4 linked regions of the Arabidopsis thaliana genome follow. The protein of the gene in region 3 interacts with the protein of the main gene of each other region in a pairwise test. Each region holds a gene or a part of one and is shown on either strand. Other genes may lie near its edges. The genes, in order: AT3G18215, AMT1;2, MLO15 and SK42.

Region 1 (4,932 bases), on a different chromosome or scaffold from region 3:
CTATAGATTAAGAAAAGAATTGTCTACAAACAAAGTTCAACAATAATCTTGGATATGTAAATTTTGCATTAGTCATGCACACACATAACAATGTTAAAATCGATCTTTGGATTCGACCAACATAACAAATACAATTTGTTTATTTGGTATACTATTGTAGAGGCAAGGAGATTGGATGTATGAAAATAGAGTAAAAGTTCTAAAATTGGACACAAAACAGAAGATCGACGAAGAATAAAATATGAATGATTTTTCTTCTTAAGGCGACCACTTACAATGTAACTTTATTTGTCTCTTTTTTTTATTATATACATACAAAAAAATTTAATTTTTATACTATTTGTAGTGTAACACCTGAACCATGGTCAAAACCAAACCCTTTTACTTTGAGTGAAGAAGAAGAAGAATACATTAAGAATTAAACCCAAGAGATCACATTATATATATATATATATATATATATATTATTTTTTGAGATCACATTATTACATAGTAGACCACTATTATTTCAATTATTTGTTTGCATTTACGCGAGCATTTATAACATGAAAACTCAAAGGAAATTGTTCCATGAGATATCATCAAAAACACTCGTTAATAACATAAAACTCTTGAAATTCAACGAACAGCCAGACACAACAACAGACCAACCATATTAACAAGAAAAATAGACAAATCATCGTCCAAATGCAAAAGTAATTTGTCTCAGCTGGCCAGCCAACATATAGATTGTAGAGAGAGACAACAAAGTAAGAAGAGAGAAGATGGGTCTCGAACTTTTTTTGGTAGGCTAATAATCTTTTAATTAGGCCCAGCCCAGTCTAGAAGTTTCAAATCCTTAAAAAATATTCGGAAAACCCCAAATCTTTGGTGCTTGCTTGAGTGTCGCGCTTATTTATTCCTGCATGCTCAATCTGTCCGGAGTCCGTCAGGTGCTTTAGGTTTTTCTCTCTGTCTTCTCCGATTCTAAGAGACGTGGGGGAAATGAGCCAATTAGAGGTACCAGATTCCATGAATGAGTTTAGATGATCCATAGTGGATACGAATGCAATGAGATCTTGTATGATCTCTTCGCCTTCGTATCCGATATCGGATCACCTAAAGACATCCCCATTGTCTTATTTTCCGCCGTCACTGCCACTCCAGCTTTGTAACGTCTCTTGGCATTAGAAGAAGAATCGAACTTTTGTCCTTAAATCTTAATAAAAGGTTTCATTAATGTACTTATCGAGCGTGAGCCTTTTTGTGCGTATCTAGTCATGTTTAAACAGTTTGAGGCTTGAACATTTCGTTTATGGATTTTACTCAATCCTGTGGAAACAAAGCAAGAACAAAATTGTTTTAAGGCCTGTGTGAATAATAACAATTCTTCTTAGTTATCCAAACCTAAAACCAAGAACAGAAAAAGCTAAAACCATTACTTTCTTCAGTGATGAACATACTTAAGATTGTTTGTTTGCGTTTAGGTAGGCGTTTGCGTTTTCATCTTGTAATGTTTTCTAATCATTGTAACATGAAAACACAAACGCATACATAATTGCAGACAAAGTTGTTCCATCACATTACAAAAGACACCGTTAACATATAACTCTTAATACACAACAAAAGTCAGAGAAGAATCTACAGAGTATGAACAGCTGATTCGATTTCGCCGTCCATTGAATCAGCCGTTTCTCTGAACGATTGGCTATGAAGATGCCTGGTAAAACTAGTGGTCGTGTCCAAGAAATATAGAATCGAGGACATCATACAACAGCACACAAACATCGGGATTGGCCCGAAGGTCCATAAGAAGAGAGGGAAGGAGAAGTAGAAAGCCCGTAATCCGAGAGACCAGAAGTAGCTAGCTCGGTTCAGGTTTCTAGACACGTACTCGCAGTGCTCTCTTTTCCCTCTTGAGACAGGCACTGTGACTAGGAAACTTACGTGAGCGTAATACCTGATTGACTGGATGTTGCAGAGAAAGGCCATGAGGAAACAGATCAGGATTGCAAAGTTCTTGAATGACGCTAAGCGAGGGCTTTTGCTCCCGTATATGAGATTTGTTGCCGTGGATTTTGAAGATGACGAGTTGCTTACAAAGACGCCGATGATGGAACATAAAGTGATTGCTGTTGTGGCTAAAAGGGTTGATGCCATTATGTTGTTCCGGATTGTCTGAACAGCCAAGGTACCATTTTTCAGTGGTTCCTGGAAATAACAATAGATAAACTTATATCATCTACTGCAAAAGAACCAATACTGAGAGCCAAGACCACCGATAATTCGGATCTTAACGGACAGACACACGACTGTGTTCTTGTTTCTCATGTCTATGACTCTGTTCCTATCCAATGAACCTCATTAACTAGCTCCAAGATTCTAGCTGAAATATGCGTAGAGTTGTGAACTATAGGGATCTGTGATGCATATCCTCCATGAACAAGAAGAGTTCTTGAAAAATGTCAAGCTTCCAAGGAAGATAGCCAACCGTCTATTATAACATTGATTCTACTAATGAAGATTCACATCTAACATCACTTGACAGCTCCAAGACTTTGCTTCTCCTAATCTCATCATCTTTACTCATCATAAACCCTGCTCAATTTTGCTACCTGATGTTTGAAGATCCAAATATTTATGGTTTACTAGTTTTTAGTTGACTTCGAAAACTTCAGAATCATGAAAATTGAGGATAGGAGAGCCGTAAGACTCTCAATACCCAATTCCTAAAATCACGAACAAAGCAGCTCTATTGCCATAAACCCTAATCTAGACCCCAAAATCTCCAGAATCAGAAATACCAAGAAAATCCCAGAATGTCACCAAAAGAGGAACAATAGAAATGAGAAGAGAAAAAAACATACAGTCATCATAGAGAAGACCCATTGTCGTCGAGACTCAGCGTTGAGAGCGATAACAGTGAGCTTGGGGCGGTGAAGAATAGCGTAGACGAGCCAGACATGGTAAGCAACCATCACGACCAGACCCGTCGGCACAAGCACTAAATCCAAAGATTCCTCCGTCCACATTTCTACTTCGCCGCAGAGATACTTTCAATTCGTACGGTTGTTCCGTGATCGGAAAGATCGATGGCGGCCAAAAGATTTTGGCAGAGGCAAGAGACGAAAAAGCACCAAGCTTTGAGAGCGAAAGCTTTCATTCACACGTGTGAACTTAACAAACTCCAGAGGAGACTATCGATATCTCTCACGTGTTAACCAATAACGCACTAACAGACAACTCAAAGTCGAATGATTTCAATTCCACGATTATACCGGTAATTTCAGTTTAAACCAAATAACCGGTTCGAATTATTTAATGGGCCGCCTAATAGATGGGCTAGAAAATCATTTAACTCTTCTTATAAGGCGTATGACTGGTGGTTTCGTGCGTAATATTAACAAATAAATAAAAGATAAAAAAATCTTCGAGGGAACATTCAGAAACCCTAACTTCAACGGGAACTCAAAAATCAGAATCTCCAGATCGAGAGCTTAAAAAGTCGATTTCAATTCCCCTTTAAGATTTTTTGCTTTTGGAATGTAGTGTGAAGAAGAAACCCTAGTTTTTTCTCACTTGAATTCTCTGCCTTCTTTAGTAATGTCAAGTGAGCAGCGAGAAGGTTCGCAAGAGACGACGACGACGACGGTGGAAGGTAACGGAACAATTGCAGGTCAGAATTCTCATTCGGCGGCTCCCACGACATTGAGAGCTACCTCTACGATGGTTTCTTGCCAGAGACTAAGGCTAAACCCTAACAACGAGCATAGACCCGATAGTTATGAAGATCTGCAGCTTGATTTCCCAAACTCGGTATATTCTAGTCTGGAGAAGTACTTGCCTCCGAATATGCTCGTCTCGAATCGTGATGAGAAAATCAAATTCATGACTGATATTATGCTTAGGCATCTTCCTCATGGAGAGCGTTCCAGAGTAAGTACTAGATTTGGACCTTTCTCTCTTGAATTTTGTTTTTACTTGTATTGATGACTGTGAATTGCTTTAGAAGCTACACTTCATTATGAAAATTTGAGCTTTTGCTAATTGCTACTATGAACTGGTTTCACTTTTAGTTAAGTGGTTATGGAAATTTCAATCTGGTTAGATGATGGTTGGTAGAAGATATTGCATGAATGGTTTGAAAATGTCAATATGAGCTCAAGAGTTTTATTAAGTAGTTTTGTTTGGCTGATGCTACAGGCTCAAAGGCACAGTGACTATAGGCTGAAGATTACAACAAATTATCAGGTGTGAATCCTTTCTTGAGCTTTCTTGTGTTCTGTATTGCTCTGCTCCAGTCATTTGTTAGTAGTTTGAAGTGTTTTTCTACTGCAGCCACTTCACAAGGAGTTGTATACTCTAGTTCCCACAGTATGTTTCGTTCCTGCTTTCCTTAAGGCGATAAATGAAAACACAGAGGAAAGCTTCAGAAATATAATATCTGAACCGTCTCCTGGTGTTTTCGTCTTTGACATGCTCCAGCCTAGCTTTTGTGAGATGATGCTAGCCGAGGTAATGTGCATCCATTTTTTGTTTTTCTCTTATCCTTCGTATTTTGTTCATTTGCTCTTGTTTGACCATGCAGATAGACAATTTTGAAAGGTGGGTGGGTGAGACCAAATTCCGGATAATGAGACCAAACACCATGAATAAATACGGTGCTGTGCTTGACGACTTTGGTCTAGACACCATGCTTGACAAACTCATGGAGGGGTTTATACGTCCCATCTCTAAAGGCAATATATTTTTAAATCCATTACATAGTCTATTATTGGAAAGTCTGTTTAATATGTTCACAGTGTTAAAACTAAAAAGCTACTTCGAATCTTTTGTTTTGCAGTATTCTTCAGTGATGTGGGTGGAGCAACTCTGGACTCTCACCATGGTTTTGTTGTTGAATATGGGAAAGATAGGGATGTTGATTTAGGTGAGACCCTTTGACATATCCTG
Region 2 (4,695 bases), on a different chromosome or scaffold from region 3:
ATATTCTCCAATTTTGATTTATACAAGCTAATCTAACAAAGTTGTCGGGAAAATAAATTAGTTAGAATCGTAATTAGCAACAAAATACACAAATAATGTCAAATAAAATTCTAAATAAAACAAACATCTAGGTGGGAGCTACTCAGATTTGTATGTAGTATATAAGATCAACTTTTAGTGGTGAATAAATGGGTGATGATAAAAAGAGAGGACGAGAAGACAAATGATAAAATTGAACGGTAATTTATGGCAAATGGGAAAAAGGATAAAGTACATACGAGGCTCCGGACCATCCGTTTTCTAAAGTAGTAATATACTAATATAAATATATTTATATTTTCATATTTAAAATATTAGTTATTCAGAAAATTTGACGACCAATCAACAGAAAAGAATCATTGAACCAATGGATACCATGGAACTAGCTAGAAGCCTAGAACCATAGGTTATGATATCAAATCCCGAATCATGGTTACGTATTATGTGGTTTGAACAACAACAAAAAAAAAGGTTACATAGTTTTGTGGTGATAACATAACCGATAAGTACCCAAGACAACTTTCTTATGATCAGTATGTGATAATTTGATAAGCTCGTCCACAAAAAAAAAACTCGTTTATAATAAAACTCGACAATTCTGATTAATTTCCGTTGGTGATTATTGATTAACATTCTAACGTTCATTTTATCAAAACAAAACATGCTATCGTACAAGATTTTTTTTTCCTCTCTTTTCTTAACATTTAAAATGTCTCAAGACCGCTCAAATTCCAATGTTTAATTTTGATACCAAACGTTCACTTTAATTAAAAAGACATACTGATCATGTTATTGTTAACAGTTCCACACTATCTGTCCACAACAGAGCGATAACCAAGAGAAAAAAAAAGAAGAAGAAGAAGACCAATAATACACAAAGATGCGTCCAACATGTTTGGTGCCCGAACTCTTGTCTTCACCACATTAAAACTGACTCGTTTGGGACCACTCAATTCTCCAATCAAAGTATCAAACAGTCAAGGTCGGTGTAGGAGTCGAGCTCCGGCTTGTAGGCTCCACTCTTCCAGCGAAATGACCCCATGGTTTAGTCGACACGTCGTCTTCGTCATTGTATGCGTAAGCAAATCCTCCATGACGTGTCATGTCCATTCCTGCCATCTCATCTTCTGCTGATATCCTCAAAAGATTCATCTTATGTAACCCATAAAACAACGGTCCCATAGTTACCGTCACCCACCCAACGATCACAATAATCTGAACGATCTGCGCGGCGAGCAGTTTTCCTCCCCCGCCCATGAACAGTCCGTAAGGCCTATCACCGGAGTAAATCTCGTTAACGTATTCTTTCCTTGCGAACAGCCCGGTAAAGATTAATCCCCATGCTCCACATCCACCGTGGAGCTGAGCAGCCTCGAGTGGGTCATCATATTTAAGTTTCTTGGCAAGCAAGTTAAATCCGATTAAAACCCATGATGCCACAAAGCCACATACTATAGCAGCCCACGGCTCCACCACGGCACATCCGGAGGTTATAGCTGCAAAGCCGCCTAGAAGTCCGTTGCATACGTCAATAACGTTCCAATGACCTGCTAAAAGCCGTTTACTGAATAGAGTAGTCAACGCAGCGGTGCAGCCAGAAAGCGTTGTGGTGACCGCGGTGCGACCTACAGCGCTCCATTGACCATAATATGGCCGAGACTTGTCGTAGCCTTTAAGAATGGTTAAAAAGGAACCAGGGTTAAACCCATACCATCCAAACCACAACAAGAAGGTACCAAGCACGACAAGGGATGCACTGTGACCACGTAAAGCCACGGACCGGCCTGACCGGTCAAATCTACCTATTCTTGGTCCTTCAACTAACGCTCCACATAAACCGGCAATTCCACCTACCATGTGAACAACTCCTGAACCTGCGAAATCAATAGCACCTGAGCCAAACAAGAGATTGTTGTCAGACCGGGACGCGCTAGCCCATCCATCACTTGACCAGAACCAGTGCGAGACTGTCGGGTAAACAAAACCGGTCAAGAAAGTAGAGTAGATAAGGTAAGCAACGAATTGCGTTCGCTCGGCGATGGAACCGCTAGTGATTCCGGCCGCGGCTATGGCAAAAGCCCATTGGTAGAGGAAAAAGCTGAAGTCGGAGCCGGGGCGTTCAGGGTAAGAGCTTAAAGCGAAGAAGCTATGGTGGCGACCGATGAATCCGTTGGAAGGTGTACCAAAGGCGAATGCGAATCCGAAGAGGTAGTAAGAGATGGCTCCAGCGGCAGCATCAAGGACATTGGTAAGCATGATGTTCATAGTGTTCTTGGCTCGGACTGATCCAGCACAAAGCATAGCGAAACCGAGCTGCATGGCAAAGACAAGGTAGGCGGAGAAGAGGAGATACGTGTTGTCGACGGCATAAGTTGTGTCGGAGAGTTTGTTGGAGATGTTTGAAATTTGGGAACATAAAAAGGTTGCCGCGGCGAGGGAAGATGTTGAGTTAGAAGAAGAGGATAGGAGGGCAGATAGATCTACGGCAGAGCATGTGGTGGTTGCGGTGTCCATGGTGGAGAGGGAGGGAGGGAGAGATAGAGAGAGGGTACTTGATTGTGGAACGTGTTTGCTTAAGTGAGTACTTGTGGTGAGAGTGTCTTTGGTGTATTTAAAGTGGAAAAAAGCATATTTATTTCGTTACATCACAAAAAGTTGCGGTACTACTTACTCTTCTTCTAGTTGAGGTTTTAAAAGAAGTTTTCTGAATTTTAAAATTCTAGGTCTCTGGTTTAAGTTTTTTTAAACAGTAGTAATCAAACTAAAATAAAATTAATAAATTTGTTTTGGTATAGTTTTGTTTTAGTTTCTATTCAGTTTTGAACATATTTAAAGTTAATTTTTTAAAGAAGATTTTTTTATTTTAATAAGATATTTAATCAGTTTTTGTGTGCAATTAATTTTGGTTATACGAATAAAAAAAGAAAAAAGAAAATTCTTATAATATTTCGTTTAGTGTTTGAATCGTTTATTTTAGTATGACAAGGAATCGGGTCAGCATTTGTTTATGAGAAACAATTAATTAAACATCGCTACATAGAAGTACGACATTAAAGAACAAGTTCAAGCATATGACGATATGATTCTTTTAAATGAATTTGTATGTCTATTTTTCCAACTCAATATTTTATATGAACTAGTTAATGTTCTTACAAAGGAGAAATAATTTATTTTTTTTGACGGCACGATTCAAAGGAGAAATAATTTGATTTCTTTTTTGGAATTAAAATAATTTGAAAAATGTAATTTTTCGTTTCGTTTGTATCGATGAAGTCAATAGTTGATAGATCATGAATGATGTATCATTTATATGAATGTGATATAGGGGGCAAGGACGATCACTCAAATAGTTATAAAATTATCACGCTAGATTAAATATAAAAATTATTTTCAACTTGACTACAACTACTTCACAACTGAATACGTAATTCGACTTGAATAATAGGCATTATTTGATGCTGTGTGATTTTTAGCGCCATTTATTTTTGTATTTTTAGTTAATCAAACAAATATGTTGTAATTTGAGGTACCGATTTCACATAGAATTTATATTGCACTACGTATTAGAGAATAAACTGTTAAAGCTACAAACTATATATAGGGTTCAATTTTGTGATTACAGGAAAAATATATATGCAACAAAGGAAAGATGAACAGATTCAATAGTAAAATCGTATTAGGTTTTCACGGAATCACAGTGATAGTAGGAAATCACGCAACAAAGAAAAAAACAAAATGAATGGACATATGAACAGTGAAAATGTTTTTATATTACGTTAAATGTTTTTAAAATGCGATTTATGAAAAAATGGGTAAAAATAAATGCGATTTATGAAAAAATGGGTAAAATTAGAGTGTTATCAGCAAGATCCGATCCAAAACCAATTGTTACTATGCAGGATAATGCGAGATGGGCATTCGAGTCAGGTTCTGATAAAATCCGATCGGGTACAGGTTTTTTTGGATAGAGAAGTTTAGGATCCAATAGAGTAATTCTAAAATATCGGTTTGATTTTGGTTCGGGTCCAATCGGGTTCGAATATAGATTTTCAGGCCTTTTTTGGAATCGATACCCAAATTTTCGAATAAATACCCGGATTTTCGGATTCGGGTCGAATTCGAATTCGGTTTTTTGGTAGAGAAATTTAAGACAAATAAGATAAATCTTCGAATTCGGATCTAATTTTTCGGGTCGGTTCCAGTTTGAGTAATCGGTTCCGGTTTTTTGCCGCCACTAAATTTGCTAGAGTCAAAATATGGTAAAAACTGCCGCAAAAGTGAACCGCTAACCACGTGATTAAATACACTTTTCTGGTAAACAATATAACTTTGACGGTCATTCAAATGCTGAAGGACGTGTTGCTCACTAGCATAGTTTATGTCATTCTACACAAGAAGATCTAGTCCTCGTAGCTTCCAAAAATTTTCTTTTCTACTCCTGGAAGATAATCGTTTCTTTTCATCCTTCAAACTTACCAAACGTTTATACGATTAACATAGGGTTTTGTCTCCAGCGATTATTTGATTTATGTGTGCTTTTGACTCTTGAAAACTTCTTCACGTTCTCTGGCATTACGTATGAAGACATAATAAAAAAAAACTCTATTGCATTTCTCCATTACTTTTTTTCATCTCAACTTAGATAGTTTTTCAATT
Region 3 (5,751 bases):
GAGCCTGTCAACGAACCCACTTTGGACAACTGCTTCATATCAACGGTTAGTTTCTCTACCCCTTTTTTAGTGAGCATCTTAAAGTTGGCTGGTTTCTAATAACCTTTTTTGTTCATGTCCTGAACAGAGTTATGATGCTACAACACACTTTGACACAACTGTTGTTGATGTGTTGAACATGTATAAATTGATCACCGGAAAGGTAATGTTCTAGAATCACAAATATATCGGTTTTTATTAATTGACGGCGACATATTCTGTAATTGGGGAGTGATCATTGTTTTGTGTTGCAGGAACTGGATCTAAGTGTGGATCTTAACGCAGCTAGTGCTGCAGAGGAGGAATGATGGAAAATATTGCAAGCTCTGTCTCTCTCTGTTAGTCACCAAATGATGTAACCGGTTCTCTTTCTCCCTCTTCTTAAAAGTTGTCTCACCAAATGTTCTGTTAAAATACTAAATCAAACCGATCTCATCATGCGTACCTATTCCCGGTTATCGCAGTCTGTTTTTTTCTTCTCAAAAAACTAAAATGTTGGATTTCGTGGTTTTTGTTTGGAGTGTCTAATATATCATCATGCTCTTCCGTTTGAACAATTATCGTCTCAATCGTTTCGTAGAGAGTCGTTGCTTAACAAGTTGAATAGTAAATGCATAGCAAAACTAAACTAAGCATATTAAATGACTGGTAATACACACAAACCATTATTTTGTTCTTCAAACCGACATAGATTGTTTTTCTTCACATGTCAGTTTAAAATCATATAAACGAACACAAAATTGAGCATTATAAACGGCTCTGTAGAAATCACATATCTTGTTTGATCAAACTGGCAGACAGATTCAGCATCTTTGCTGTGTTTATTTGTTACAACGCCTTTCAATCAGTTATATATACCAAACAAAGTCGAACAAGTTCAAAAAATCAAAAATCACAACAACAAAAAAAATGTCAGAACAAGTTTTTGTTTGTTAATCATGGTGAGCAATCTCTGATTTTTCCTTGGGGTTCTGATTTTGTTGAGAGGAGCCTTTTCCTAGCAAGGAGTTCAACTGAATAGACGGTCTTGGACTAGTAGCATCATGACTGGTACCTACTTGTGTTGCGCCTTTCTTCACTCCCCTTTTAGCCATTTTTGCCCATCCAACAAGATGTTCCTGTGTCTGCTCGTTGAATATTGCACCTTTGAATGAACTTCCCATCTTTTCACCAAAAAATTAGAAGGTTTGGTTTTGAGTTTGTGTCTTGGTCTAGTTTGATATAAGAACACAAGAAAATTGACTAAGAGATGTAGAATCTGTACCTGAGTTACGAGTGCATAGAGCGGTAAGGTACTGTAACTGCAGAGAAGCTGAATTATTACCCTGCAAAAATATTTCACATTTCAAGATCAAGAAGCTCATAACAAGATCGATATTAAGTAGCTTTGGCTATTATTACCCGATGACGAGTCTTGGAATTACGAACTTGACATGATCCATGATGCATGAATCCCAACCAAATTGAAACTGTTGTTACAATTGCATGAGTTTTCACTTTTCTCTGTACGTATCTTGATATCTTCTAGATTATTGGTTTAGATCGATTAATGGTAAAGAGTACTTACAAGGATAAAGAAGAAGTAGGCGATTTCGAAGGAGTTTTGGAAAAGAATGAAATGGATCAAGAAGAGAACTAGCCGGGGACTTTGAAACCAGAACAAATCATCTGATGGTCGGACAACCAAATCTCCTTCCACAGCAATGTGTTTCTCTGCAACTTCATGAGCCAAATCTGTGATGATATGCTCTAACTTCGTCCCCACGGCAAGTAAAAGCTGAGGAGAAAACCGCGTAAAAAGAGTTGATTTAGATAGGTTTGAAGCATAGACATGCTTTGAGAAGGTTTTCAGGGACTTACGATCAAAGGAATAAAAGCTAGCCAGAAGTAAACATGCCATGCTGCAAGAAATATCGAGTCGATGATCATTCAACCGAAAAAAGAAAGAAGAGAAGAAAACTTTGTATTGGATCAAAGTTAAAAGATGTCATCTCAGTATCTCACCAACAATGTTTAGAAGCAAGAAGAGAACCACAAATACCCAAAGGTACCAACTGCAATTTGATATATACATTAGAATAGAATCAAGAACACTATGTTGCATTGGTTTTTGGAAAAACTATAAATTATTTACCTGATACCGACGACTTTCTTGAAATCAGAATTAAGGGCACGCATTAAATACTTATGGAAATTGAATTTTGGGTTGGTCTTGCAATGAGTCTTATAAAGATCAAATAGAAAAAGTTGTTTTTAGACATTATAGTAGAGATAAACACAAAGCAAAGGACGAATCAAAAATCCAAGATATATACCGTGACAAAGCCTAGCCTCATTGTGATGTAATCTGATTCATTGACTGACGCAAGAAACTGTTTCATAAACGATTGCTGCAAAGGAAAAGAACACATATCACTCAAAAACTTGCATATACACATACAAACATGTCTTTAATTACAAGTAAGATAAGTTGTGAGAAAACAAAAACACTCACCACCCATCCCAAGGAAGCATCAGCTTTTCCAACCCCAAGAAATCGTGACCTGATGAATTCGTGTTCTTGAACGTGTGTGAATTTCTTCTGGATCACTGTGTAGATATGTGTATATATAAGACTTGTTAACGTTACAAATGACTATAATTAATGAAAAGTTCTCAAGATCCTGAAACAAGATTTTGTACTATACTTTGGTCTGTGTCGAAGTCCTTCTCTAAAACCTTATCCTCCCATTTTTTCCATTGCTTTATCTATGCCATAACATTTTGTTATAATCATTAGACACAATAAAAAACTTATTCTGCGAATAGAAGTTGTCCGGTTTTAGAGTTTAGGATTATCACTAGCTTATATTTGTTCGTGATATCTCGTAACTAATAAAGATTAAAAAAAAGATTTATTGTTAAGTAAGGTGTAATTAAGAAAATACCTTCATGGTACCAAAAACAATGGTTAAGAGGCAGAAAATAATGTGGGCAACAGCTAATACGAAGATGAATATATGAAGCTCGTGCAGAGCTGATAATGACATTATTGGTACTTTTCCCTGAATTTAAAACAAACAAAAAGATTCAAAAAAGATATCATATTATAGACAAATTTATGTTAATTCTACGCACGTCTTCAAATAAAACGTGTAAGTCAAAAAAAGATTTGCAAAGATAAGAATACCTTTAGGGAGCAGTAGTCACCGGCGGGGGCATCTCCGGCGAGGAGATGACGGCCGGTGAAGCTGAACTGGAAATGGGAGGAGTCTTTAAGGGACTTCTCAGCCCCTGCAGGTTTCGTACAAGGGAGAAACTTTTCACTTAACTCCTTTGATATGCAAATCTTTGCGATTTTAGACTGGCCGACCGATAATAGCAACGATATGAACCCTACTAGCATGAGTTCTGTTTCCAAATTTTAAGAATCCTATTAGAACAAATGATATCATCACATGATGGATCTTTTTTTTTATCAACAAAAACATGAAGTCACCTTCTTTGATCTTTTGTAATGCCCCAAAAAGCTGCTTCTGATCGTTGTTCTTAAAGTGCTATATTCCTCATGCATAGATCCATAATAGTCATTTAGTCTACAACGTCTAAATGAATTATGCATACATATAAAATAAACACAAGGAGCCAATATGTAATATATAACCTTTCCGGCACGGTGAATGAGACGCTCGACGGCAAAAGAGATAGAGACAATGACGGAGCAGACGAGAGCAACCACCCAAGTTGGTGTGTACTCTAAGGTCGTTCCTCCTCCCGCCATTTTTTTGCTCCGGTGATTCGTGATTTTCTTGATCCCCTTCTTGTTTGGTGCAATTATATAATGAATGCCTAATGAGTTTAATCCAAAATGATGACCAGGTAATTGTTTTAAACCGGCGATCTTATTCTTTAGAACGTGTCTTTAAATATTAAAATTTGTAGGTTATATTCATTTTCATTTCTTTACTAGAAAGTGTAGGTTGTATTCATGCACATTATATAATGTGTAATGTATGCGGTGTCAGTGTGTGTTTGTCCCCTCTATGTTTTGTAATTTTCTTTATTTAGAGTTTTGGATAGTTACAATGTACAACCTAAATAGAAATTACTAATGTTATAGAGCCACCAAGAGTTGTTAATTGAGGTCTAATTAGACTCTTTAAGTCCCCATTTTTTTCCTTTGTCAAAGGTCTAAACCCAATATTTTTTCTTTTTCCTTTAACAAGATAAAATTTTGACTTGATATTGAATTAATCAAATGTAACTGATCAAACGTTTTATTTTAACGAATTAACCGCTACAATATTTGATCGGTCAATCTATAAAAACAAAATTTGGACAATTTCGCACAACCGATATAATCTCTTTAAAAAAATGGAGAACAGCTTGTACTCTTGAAGTCAACGATTCCGGTTAAGAGCATTCTATCTTTGATACAGCTCGACCGGAATTATTTAATCAACCGGTCAAAACCAGATATTTCTAATGGATTGGTGGGCTTCGAAGGAACAATCTAACAGCCAATAAAAATTCAAGATCAATTTAAAAGCCCGCCATTGGAAAATAACATGATTAGTCATAAAAAGCCTATCTCGGATAAAAGATCACAAGTCTCTGATAACTTGAACAAAAAAAAAAAAACTCGGTCCCAAAATCTTTGAAATTTGCAAAGATAAAGAAGGAAGCTTTCATCAATTCATTCTCCTGACAAGCTCGTTGATGAAATTCTCCCTGTTTCCAGCATCACCACCTTCGACGTAGTGGTTTCTCTTCTTCTTAAGGCCACCGAGTGGTGCCTTCAATTGGAATGGCCACAGGAAGTTGTTGGCTTCCTTGAAGTGAGGTCCAACAGTCATGATCTCGTGGATGAGATCCTCAACGCAGATGATCCCATGCTTTCCGAGAGCCTGATCCACAATGGAGTTGTCAGTAAGTGCTATCCTCTGGTGGTTCAGCTTTCCATAACCTCTTTTGTAGATCAGTTCCTTAACGCTCTTCAAGTTTGGGTATCTGCACCAGATATATCATTCGGTTTAGAGCAGCATATAGTTTAGTTTACATAATCCTATTGAAAGAGAGAGAATCAGATTGCATACCCGTAAGTCACGTATGGTTCAACTCGGCGCAGCATGTTTACTGTTGCCTTGTTCACCTTAAGAAACACACCATTGAAGATCTGCACAAATGTATACGAAAGTAAACTTCTTGACAACGCAATAGTCTTCTACTCTCTTTTAAAAATGATGAACAGGCAACTATCACATATTAGTTTGAACATATAACAAATATTAATCAATAATCATATGTTAGGCTAATATAGCTGGATGAAAATAACAAACTGTGAAACCTACCTGTCTCAAACGCAGGAGCTGCAGAATCTTCTTGGTTTTTGGGTCAATGGCATTGATACTGCAAATGACAAACAATCACGTAAATAAAAAACAGAATCTATATGCAACAACTTATGTAACACACAAATAATAGGCACATACCCACGGATACGAATGATAAAGAGCAACTTAGCCTCAGGGTCAACGTAGAAACCTCCTTTCAACTTAGCCTCCCGCTTCAATCGGATCAACTCGTTATCCTAAACAAGCATGCAAATAATATATCATGATTCATTACAACAACCATGAACAGAACAGTCATCTTAGTCAGCAAAGATGAACAAAAGAGTGTTGCTTTATTACCTTCTCAGCGTATTCTTTGGCATACTGCTCAGCTCTCTTG
Region 4 (7,960 bases), on a different chromosome or scaffold from region 3:
ACGACCCAATAAGAAAAGCTTGAAACTTTCGAGCCAACACTAATCCAACATCTCAGAATTCAAAACAGATAGCTCACAGAAAGACGAATTAAACCCCAAATGAAAGAATCAAAATCAATTTCAAACCCTAATTTCAACAACAAAAAACTCTTTCAAACAGATTAAAAGTTTTGAGTAATCAAACCTGTTTGTTGACTTCAACACCAACGGCACGTTTAGTGACATTCCAGATGCGACCAGTACGACCATGGTAGAACTTATGAGGCATACCCTTGTGGATAGCTCCATTAACCTTGACATCGACGTAATCGCCGACCTTGAAGGTTCTGAGGTAAGTGGAGAGTGGAATATAACCCTTCTTCCTGAATGGTCTCGCGAACAGATCTCTTGTTCTCGCCCTCACTCCGTGTCCCGCCGGCATTTTTCCTCCTCTCTCACTTCTGTCTCTGACGAAACCCTAAAAATGGGAGAGAGAGGTGAAACTAGTTTAAAAGGCTTTTTGTGTACATGGTCTTATTGGGCCTTCAATATTTAAGCCTTATTTTGTAAAACAAATGCCTTATTTGAAATTAACTCGAAGATAAATTGGTTTGGTGTAATTCGAGTAATATGGTTCAAATCAAGTTCGTAAACATGGACAAATAAACTAAACTGTCAATTCATTTTAAGGTTCACAAATTTTTTGGAAAATTGTGTTGTGGCAGGAGTCTTGCAAATGTAAGTATGTTCCTCTATATCATATATCTAACAAAGTAGTGTTGTATTTTACGCATCCTCACTTCACGACAAGGGATGCGCAAGCACCTTAATACAAAAGTCATTGCTTCTTTTTCCAGTGATTTCTGTTTACAGAGAGAGAGCTCTACTGGTTTTTCCCAAAGACTGGGATCTAGAGAGCTTAGAGAAAAGAAGAGAACACCCGATAGGTCGTACAGAAAACACGGAAGAGACTTACGAGTGTAATGCCATGAAGTGGTTCTGCTTACGGGCATGTTCTGGGACAAGTCGGTCCACAGTTTCAGGAGGGATACCAGAGAGTTCTGTAGGACACACGCTTATCAATAACACATACTAATTTTCTTCCCTTATAAAGAATTTAACACGGAAAAAAGAAGAAGCAAATAACAGAACCTTACCTTGTGGTTTAAAATTGAATAGCGGAGGAAGTGGCCGGCCGTTTGGCAGACGAGCATTTGGGTCTCTTAGCTCATCAAAGAAAGGGTGGATACAAGCTTCCACCTATCAGAAAATCATAAGACATACTTATAATGGGTTAGCTTCTGATGCTGATCCCAAAAAAAATATGGAAGTAGAATATGTAACAAAGTCAGAGAAAAGCTATGAATAATTTACCGCTGTACATCTCAAATTAGGAGAATACTGGAAGAACCTACAAAGAAGATCTACTGCTTCAGGTGGCAGACGTTTCTGGAATACCTGAAAGTAACAAACACATGATTCTTGTGCTGTAAGAACATGACTATATAGAAGTAAAACCAAGGAAATGATCACTTAAGAGAAATTTTAGCACGGAGCAAAACAAAAGATAAGAATAACGAGTAACAGAGTTCTGGAATGTCAGCTGTATAAAATGCTGAATAAAACTTCATCTAGATAGAAACTTAAACCAGCAAAAAAGCCAAGATCATGAAGCCTAACTGTTTTCAACCCCCACGAGTGTGTGCATGAGTAATTCCTTTTGGCAAAGGTTCAATTTATTTGTTTGTATAAGAATCTTATATACAAAGGCAAAGCTGTCACATCGCTCTATATGCCAGAGGAATGAAATATGAAGTTAATTGATCACATATACTTCAATCAACCTCACTAAACCGAGACAAGCTTGGTCATATATCGATTAAGAGAACCCTATTAGGTGATAATTGATACTACTAGCGGTATACCTTGTGCCAAGGATGAGGTTTTATCTGAGGAAATTTAAATTCTGTGTAGTTTGGATTCATGCATTTGATCTCCTCCCTTGTTGGTGTACCCAAAACCTGCATGACAATTAAAAAACCATGAAGAGAGAATGTACGAGTCCTACTACAAAAATGGTGGTAAAGTTTTATAAAAAAAATATAATCAGCAGTGAGAAACTATTAGTCAGTGCCAGCTCTAAAGATGTCATTTTCTTTGTAAATACAACTAACCCTAAAAGAATTGATAGCAAAAATACTACCTTTATGATTTCAACAAGTTGATCGACTCCACTTTCGCCAGGAAACAGAGGCTGTAAAACAAGTCCGCGAGAGCAAAAATGAGTAAGAGGGTGAAGAAATAGAATAACAAGCATATAGCTAATGCAAATATAGTGCTCCAACCTGTCCAAGCAGCAGTTCAGCCATCACACAACCTGTGGACCATATGTCTATTGCAGTTGTGTACTCGGTGGCTCCAAAAATGAGCTCTGGGGCACGATAGTATCTTGAACAAATGTAAGAAATATTGGGTTCTCCTTTCACCTGTGGACCATGACACGTCATAATCTAAGCATGGACTAGGAAAACTAAACCACTAAGAGCTATAGCTGATAAACTTTACCAACACTTTTGCACTCCCAAAATCACAAATTTTCAGCTGATGTGTGTGTGGATTCACCTGCACATCACAATAGGTGTAAAGAAAAAAATAAAAGATTGTTTAATAAAAACAAGGCAACATTTGTTTATGACAAATTCTAGTCAATTGCAGGTATGGTGAGCCTAACAGCTGAAACAGTATGGAACAAGTTCAATCCTTGTGAAATCACAAGAAAATAGGATTCTAAATATTTAAACCAACGAACAGACCAGCTAAAAACCAAAACTATTTTCCGAAAAGTTAGATTTTAACATCCTACTTGAACAAATAGCAAGTGAAATTAACTACAGAACAGAAGCCCAGTACCACTCTGAGGTTGAAATAAACATTAGCGAGATGCATACATAACCTCATTGCTTAATCCCACCAGGCATGTAATAACGAAATATCATCATGTCATTACTATATAATGATCAAATTTGTAGAATTAAAGAACACTGTCTGATATTTATGTACACAAATGCCTTTAAAATCCTTATGTGTGGTGACAAAGACCTTGCTATATAAAAAAAATTCAAACAAAAGTAGCTTACAGGAAAGTGAAATCTATCATCAACTTCTTTTCAGTGAGAAAAAATTGGAACTTACTAGCAGGTTTTGGGGCTTTATATCACGGTGACAAAGACCACAGCAATTATGAAGGTAAGCAAGCCCCCTGCAAATCTGTAGCCATTAACATAAAATCCTCAAAAATCATTGGAGAATGTCCAACAAATTATCAGGCCCGATTCACACTTAAGTGTTCAACAAACGTTTGAGCACTACTTCTTTTATATAGAGACAATCAATTATGTTCAATAGTTCCAACTTCTAACGGAAAAGTACAATAGTATCAGAAATGATAGGAACTTTGCCTTCTGGTTTACAATCTATCTAGCAAAACAAGAGGAAATCTCCAACATCCATTATGGAATGAACCACAAGAAACCAGCTGACACATATCAAGAAACTGAATATAGCTTAAATTTTGAGTGATTACTTATGACGCTTACATAAAGAGAAACAAAAAAAGATCAGAAACAGGAAATAATCACCTGGTAAGTGTAGAGTTTGACATATATCAATGGCATCAGCTGGTTCATTCTACTGTAGCTTCTGGCAGTACGATTGACAGTCTCGGGAACAAACTCAAGGACAAGATTTAGATAAACCTCTTCATTTTCTGTTCTTGAATAGAAGCTATGCTTTAAACAAACAACATTCGGATGGTCTAGCATCTGCATAATTTGTAATTCTCTGTTCTTGTAACGCTTGTCTTGTAGAACTTTTTTGATGGCAACAACCTCCCCAGTTTCTCTGCATTTAGCCTACCACAAGGAGACATAAAATGTTTGGGAATCTTAACCAATGGTAAAACAACAAGATAGACAATCTTACTCACTTGGAAAACCATTCCGAATGAACCAGTCCCGACTACGTGTTCTGCTATGTAACTGACTGTCTGTCAATCAAAATTAAAAACAGTTGTATAAGAATCAGTACGTCTCACTAACAATCTAGACACACAGTTTCTATGACCATCTAACCTGTCTTGATTGACCATTTCGTCCAGGGAGTGTAGTTGTGATCACATGGCCAGGTTCTGCACCAACTCCATCAATGATATCTGGTTCACTGTCCTGCAACATGGCAAAAACATCAAATTCAAGTAAACTACTTCATCAAATAGAGGGGCGCATGAGAAGGAAGATAAGCTAAAGAAGTTCACAAAGAAATAAAGACCTAAGAAAGGAGATGCAAAACTTACTCTCTCCTCATCAGCCTCTGTCTTGTCCCTTATCTTCATCTCAAGCATATCTCTGCTCAACCAATCAACTGAACTAGAAGTGTTCTTTGTATTTTTGGCAGATCTCGAACTGCCTACTCCATTTCCCAGATGAGATTCCATGGTGGTGGTTGTTCGGAAGATAACACGTACTAGTAATTGATAACACCATAAACCTTAGCAATTTGGTGTCCCATCCCATCAAAACACCAATCTTCCTAGTAGAATATTAAAATCGTTTTCATAAAGCAAAAACAGTATAAGCAATTACCAGAGTATATACCCACAGAATTTAGATCGTTGGAACATGCTAACAGAATACCAAAGTCACTGGTTTTTCCAAATATATTCAAAACAAAATATCTTAACACTTAAAGCAGATTTAAGAGAAAAGAGAAACATGCAAACTCACTTTCAGAAGTGACATAAAGTTAGCAAATCGACCATCCTATCACCTTCTCAGAATATATTCTACAAACCAAACATAACGCATAATACCTATATATTCATAGAACCACCGAGCACATTCTTATAGCTTGAACATCCACAAGCACTATGAGATAGAAATAACTGAGTGGTGTGGTCTCTAGCTGCTTATGTTCCCTTGATCAATCACTACAAAGAAGAAATATGGTGAATTGAAATGAAAGAGGAAACATATTAGCAGAAAATATGAACCATTTCTATGTGAACAATGAAATTAACAAGAGAATAATTGAGAAAACAAAAGAATCAAATCAGCTACCTAATTTTCTGAGGTCACAATAATTTCTTCCGAAGTTAATTATGATCAGATAGAAACACAGAAAAGTCAACAACTTGGTATTAAAATTTCATTGAAACTTTGAAATAGTGGGTGATAACACAACACTGATACTACTACAGAAGACTAGAATTGAAACCCAGAAGAAATTACGACAAAACCAGATCTAAATTCCACTAAAAGGGACAAAGCTTGTCCTTAAACTCAGTTTCTACAATTACAAAAAAAACCAGAAAAATCAGTAAAGCAGTTGTTACTGCAAGAACCTTAACTTCCTCCAAAATTACACAATTCAACCAATTCGAAGCGCTATCTTCAGGCTTGAAGCCGAAGATGATCGATTTACCTTGAACGGAAAAGTAAAAATCACGCATTTGATGATCTTCTTCTTTTTCTTCAATTTATACAAAATCGAGCTCAATTTTTCTGACGAGCGATCACCAATGGAGAGAAACTGATCAGTAGAGATTTTCTCTGTGGTTTTCTTTTGTAGATTTCTTACTCTTTTGAATCAGGAGAGTTTTTCAGAGATTTTCATTTTCTTTTGTAACATCTACTTTATTTAAATTCGTAAAAGGGAAATACAAACAATTAATTAACCAACCAATCAGAGATTTATAAAAGAATTAAAATATATATTTATTTTAAAATAAAATAAAAAAATTAATTGATAAGCTAAACCAAATCACATCTATTGTTAAACCGAAATGGTCCATTGCTTTTGGGTTTAAGAAAGTTGTTCTTGCGGGAGGAGATCGAGTTTTTGGAATAGGGTTTGATGGGAAGATTAGGTTTTGGAATGGAGAGATTTGGACTAGAATCAAAGATCAGATTGGTGAATTCTCTGATATTATTGTTCTCAAAGAGCTAATTTACGTGTTGGATACGAAAGGCATTGTTTGGTGGATTAGTATCGTTAGGTATGGAACTTCACTTACTAATGAATGTGGTGGAGACTTAAGCTTGGTTGCATGTTGTGGAGAGCTTTATATTGTTGATCGTCTTTTTAAAGAGAATGTCTTGAAAAGAAAAGCTGATTACTTGGACTTGGATGATAATGTTTATGTTGGTGTAGCTCCTCGGATTTCTAATGTGATACATGACGATTTTGGGAATGAAAAATGCAATGTGGACCAAGAGGTGGAAATAGAATGTCCCAAAATGGTTGGTTTCAATGTTTATAAGGTTGATGAGGAATTAGGGAAGTGGGTTGAAGTTAAGTCCTTGAGAGATAGTGCGGTTGTGATGGCGACTGATACTTGTTTCTCGGTTATGGCTCATGAGTACTATTGATGCGTACCGAATTCTATATACTTTGTCCATGAAAAGGAAGTAGAGGTTAAGGTGTTTAAGCTAGACGATGGTAGTACTTTGATGATGTTTGGTTCTGAGCAGAGTTGTTTCCAAATGTTTGTTCCTAGGTTTCTCTGAATCTTGTTTAGGCTAGAGCTACTTTCTTTATATTAAGGATATTGGAGGAGTGACAAGAAATGTGATAACATTATCTCTATCTCATACCATACTTTACCATTTCCGTTAAGCTCTATCGAAAACCTTTCTTCTCCAGCTAGTAATATGAAGAGTGCCACTTCTGTAACCGAAATGTGCATGGCCTATTGGTATATTTCTGGCTTTCATCGACGTAATAAACCACTTGCAGAGGAATGATCACCCATGGAAGATATACAAAACAAATAAGCATATAAAAGACTTCTTCTCATCAGCCTCTGGATTTGAGTTGCTTGGGGAAGACGTTTACGTTGCATTCTATATAGGAAAGGTACGAGCCTAAAGGCATAAGAGCTTGGTGCAGCTTATATCATCAAGTGGGATGTGGCTTTATTGGTGTCTCGATGCCCCATAGATGTTAACAATCAAGTCTACTTGAGAAATATATAGGGATTCACTCCTCTAGCAAAGTATTGTAACAAATAAATGCAAAACAGAGAAAAGAAAAAAATCAAACTAAACCAACTAATAAATAAATTACATAGTTTGATCCATATCTATACAACATATTTTGGACATTGACTTACAAGAATCAGAATAACAAGAACAGATTGACAAACACTTGACATGAGAAACTAAACTTCAACATTGTTCTCACTTTGGTTAAGTTCCGCCATCTTCTTCTTGTTTCTCTTGTGCAGAGTGTAGAAGTAAGATCCTAACGCCAAAACTGTTCCTATCAAAGCACCAATTCTAGGCCAACTAAACACATCATCCATAAAATCAAATGCCAAGACAACAAACAAAGCCACAAATGGTGAAGCACACATATGAACAACATCACCAAAAAGACCCGAAACATAATGCACCAAACCTATCATCCCGACCGCCCAAACCTGCCACGACAAAGCCAACCCGACCAAACTCAGAACGTAATACGTTTCCCCTTTCTTAAACCTCTTGCTATCGCCTTTCAGTTCCTTATACTCGTCACTCGCAAACAAGCCCACGAGACAAACAACCGAGGCGACAAAAGCGACACATATTTGCATCTCTAAGACCATTCTAAACACTTTCTCGTTACCATATCTCTTGGTCTTCACTTGGAGTTTCTCGAACCCGAGTTGGATTAAGCAAAGAGATAATGAGAAAGCAATTGTAGCAGAGAAAGCTAACCAAGCTTGGATGTTGTATCCGAATTCTTCGCCGTCATGAGGCTGTCCTCCAAAGTCAGGAGTACCGAGAACGTAAATCACAATAGTGAGTAATATCGATATGATGATCCATCTAGTAAACTTGAAACGGTTAATGATGGCTGTTAAAACAGCGGTAAATATCAACTGTGTTGTGGAAATCAATGAGAAGATGCCATAGTTTGAGACTAATTTCCCGAGTGCGAA

Evidence for each region.
Region 1: the proteins of MLO15 (region 3) and AT3G18215 interact in a protein complementation assay, tested with the Arabidopsis thaliana proteins (one large-scale study listed by BioGRID).
Region 2: the proteins of MLO15 (region 3) and AMT1;2 interact in a protein complementation assay, tested with the Arabidopsis thaliana proteins (one large-scale study listed by BioGRID).
Region 4: the proteins of MLO15 (region 3) and SK42 interact in a protein complementation assay, tested with the Arabidopsis thaliana proteins (one large-scale study listed by BioGRID).

What each region holds. Positions count from the first base shown.
Region 1 is NC_003074.8:6,239,047-6,243,978, reverse strand, and holds AT3G18215 (transmembrane protein, putative (Protein of unknown function, DUF599)), read right to left. Parts: upstream 3,211-4,932; 5' UTR 3,012-3,210; coding exon 2,847-3,011; intron 2,595-2,846; exon of another isoform or gene 2,191-2,594; coding exon 1,621-2,190; 3' UTR 901-1,620; downstream 1-900. Other genes in the region: AT3G18210 (2-oxoglutarate (2OG) and Fe(II)-dependent oxygenase superfamily protein), read left to right, coding at 3,583-3,915, 4,183-4,230, 4,318-4,494, 4,568-4,718, 4,823-4,909.
Region 2 is NC_003070.9:24,060,013-24,064,707, forward strand, and holds AMT1;2 (ammonium transporter 1;2), read right to left. Parts: upstream 2,793-4,695; 5' UTR 2,554-2,792; coding exon 1,009-2,553; 3' UTR 628-1,008; downstream 1-627.
Region 3 is NC_003071.7:18,244,518-18,250,268, forward strand, and holds MLO15 (Seven transmembrane MLO family protein), read right to left. Parts: upstream 3,943-5,751; 5' UTR 3,800-3,942; coding exon 3,683-3,799; intron 3,576-3,682; coding exon 3,518-3,575; intron 3,430-3,517; coding exon 3,209-3,429; intron 3,084-3,208; coding exon 2,967-3,083; intron 2,788-2,966; coding exon 2,727-2,787; coding exon of another isoform or gene 2,722-2,726; intron 2,629-2,721; coding exon 2,534-2,628; intron 2,430-2,533; coding exon 2,355-2,429; intron 2,263-2,354; coding exon 2,174-2,262; intron 2,094-2,173; coding exon 2,044-2,093; intron 1,941-2,043; coding exon 1,900-1,940; intron 1,817-1,899; coding exon 1,607-1,816; intron 1,509-1,606; coding exon 1,441-1,508; intron 1,365-1,440; coding exon 1,304-1,364; intron 1,203-1,303; coding exon 972-1,202; 3' UTR 840-971; downstream 1-839. Other genes in the region: GDI1 (guanosine nucleotide diphosphate dissociation inhibitor 1), read left to right, coding at 1-45, 128-202, 294-347; AT2G44120 (Ribosomal protein L30/L7 family protein), read right to left, coding at 4,710-5,028, 5,115-5,194, 5,370-5,427, 5,511-5,608, 5,712-5,751.
Region 4 is NC_003070.9:21,430,407-21,438,366, forward strand, and holds SK42 (shaggy-like kinase 42), read right to left. Parts: upstream 5,698-7,960; 5' UTR 5,471-5,697; coding exon of another isoform or gene 5,431-5,470; exon of another isoform or gene 5,107-5,430; coding exon of another isoform or gene 5,021-5,106; exon of another isoform or gene 4,964-5,020; 5' UTR 4,847-4,963; intron 4,567-4,846; exon of another isoform or gene 4,563-4,566; 5' UTR 4,472-4,562; coding exon 4,331-4,471; intron 4,203-4,330; coding exon 4,110-4,202; intron 4,025-4,109; coding exon 3,965-4,024; intron 3,891-3,964; coding exon 3,618-3,890; intron 3,247-3,617; coding exon 3,172-3,246; intron 2,602-3,171; coding exon 2,545-2,601; intron 2,466-2,544; coding exon 2,325-2,465; intron 2,234-2,324; coding exon 2,183-2,233; intron 2,001-2,182; coding exon 1,905-2,000; intron 1,438-1,904; coding exon 1,354-1,437; intron 1,240-1,353; coding exon 1,137-1,239; intron 1,041-1,136; coding exon 956-1,040; coding exon of another isoform or gene 952-955; exon of another isoform or gene 805-951; coding exon 732-804; 3' UTR 645-731; downstream 1-644. Other genes in the region: AT1G57860 (Translation protein SH3-like family protein), read right to left, coding at 185-421; AT1G57906 (F-box protein), read left to right, coding at 5,021-5,106, 5,431-5,470, 5,844-6,404; PUP17 (purine permease 17), read right to left, coding at 7,196-7,960. UniProt on the Arabidopsis thaliana protein: May mediate extracellular signals to regulate transcription in differentiating cells.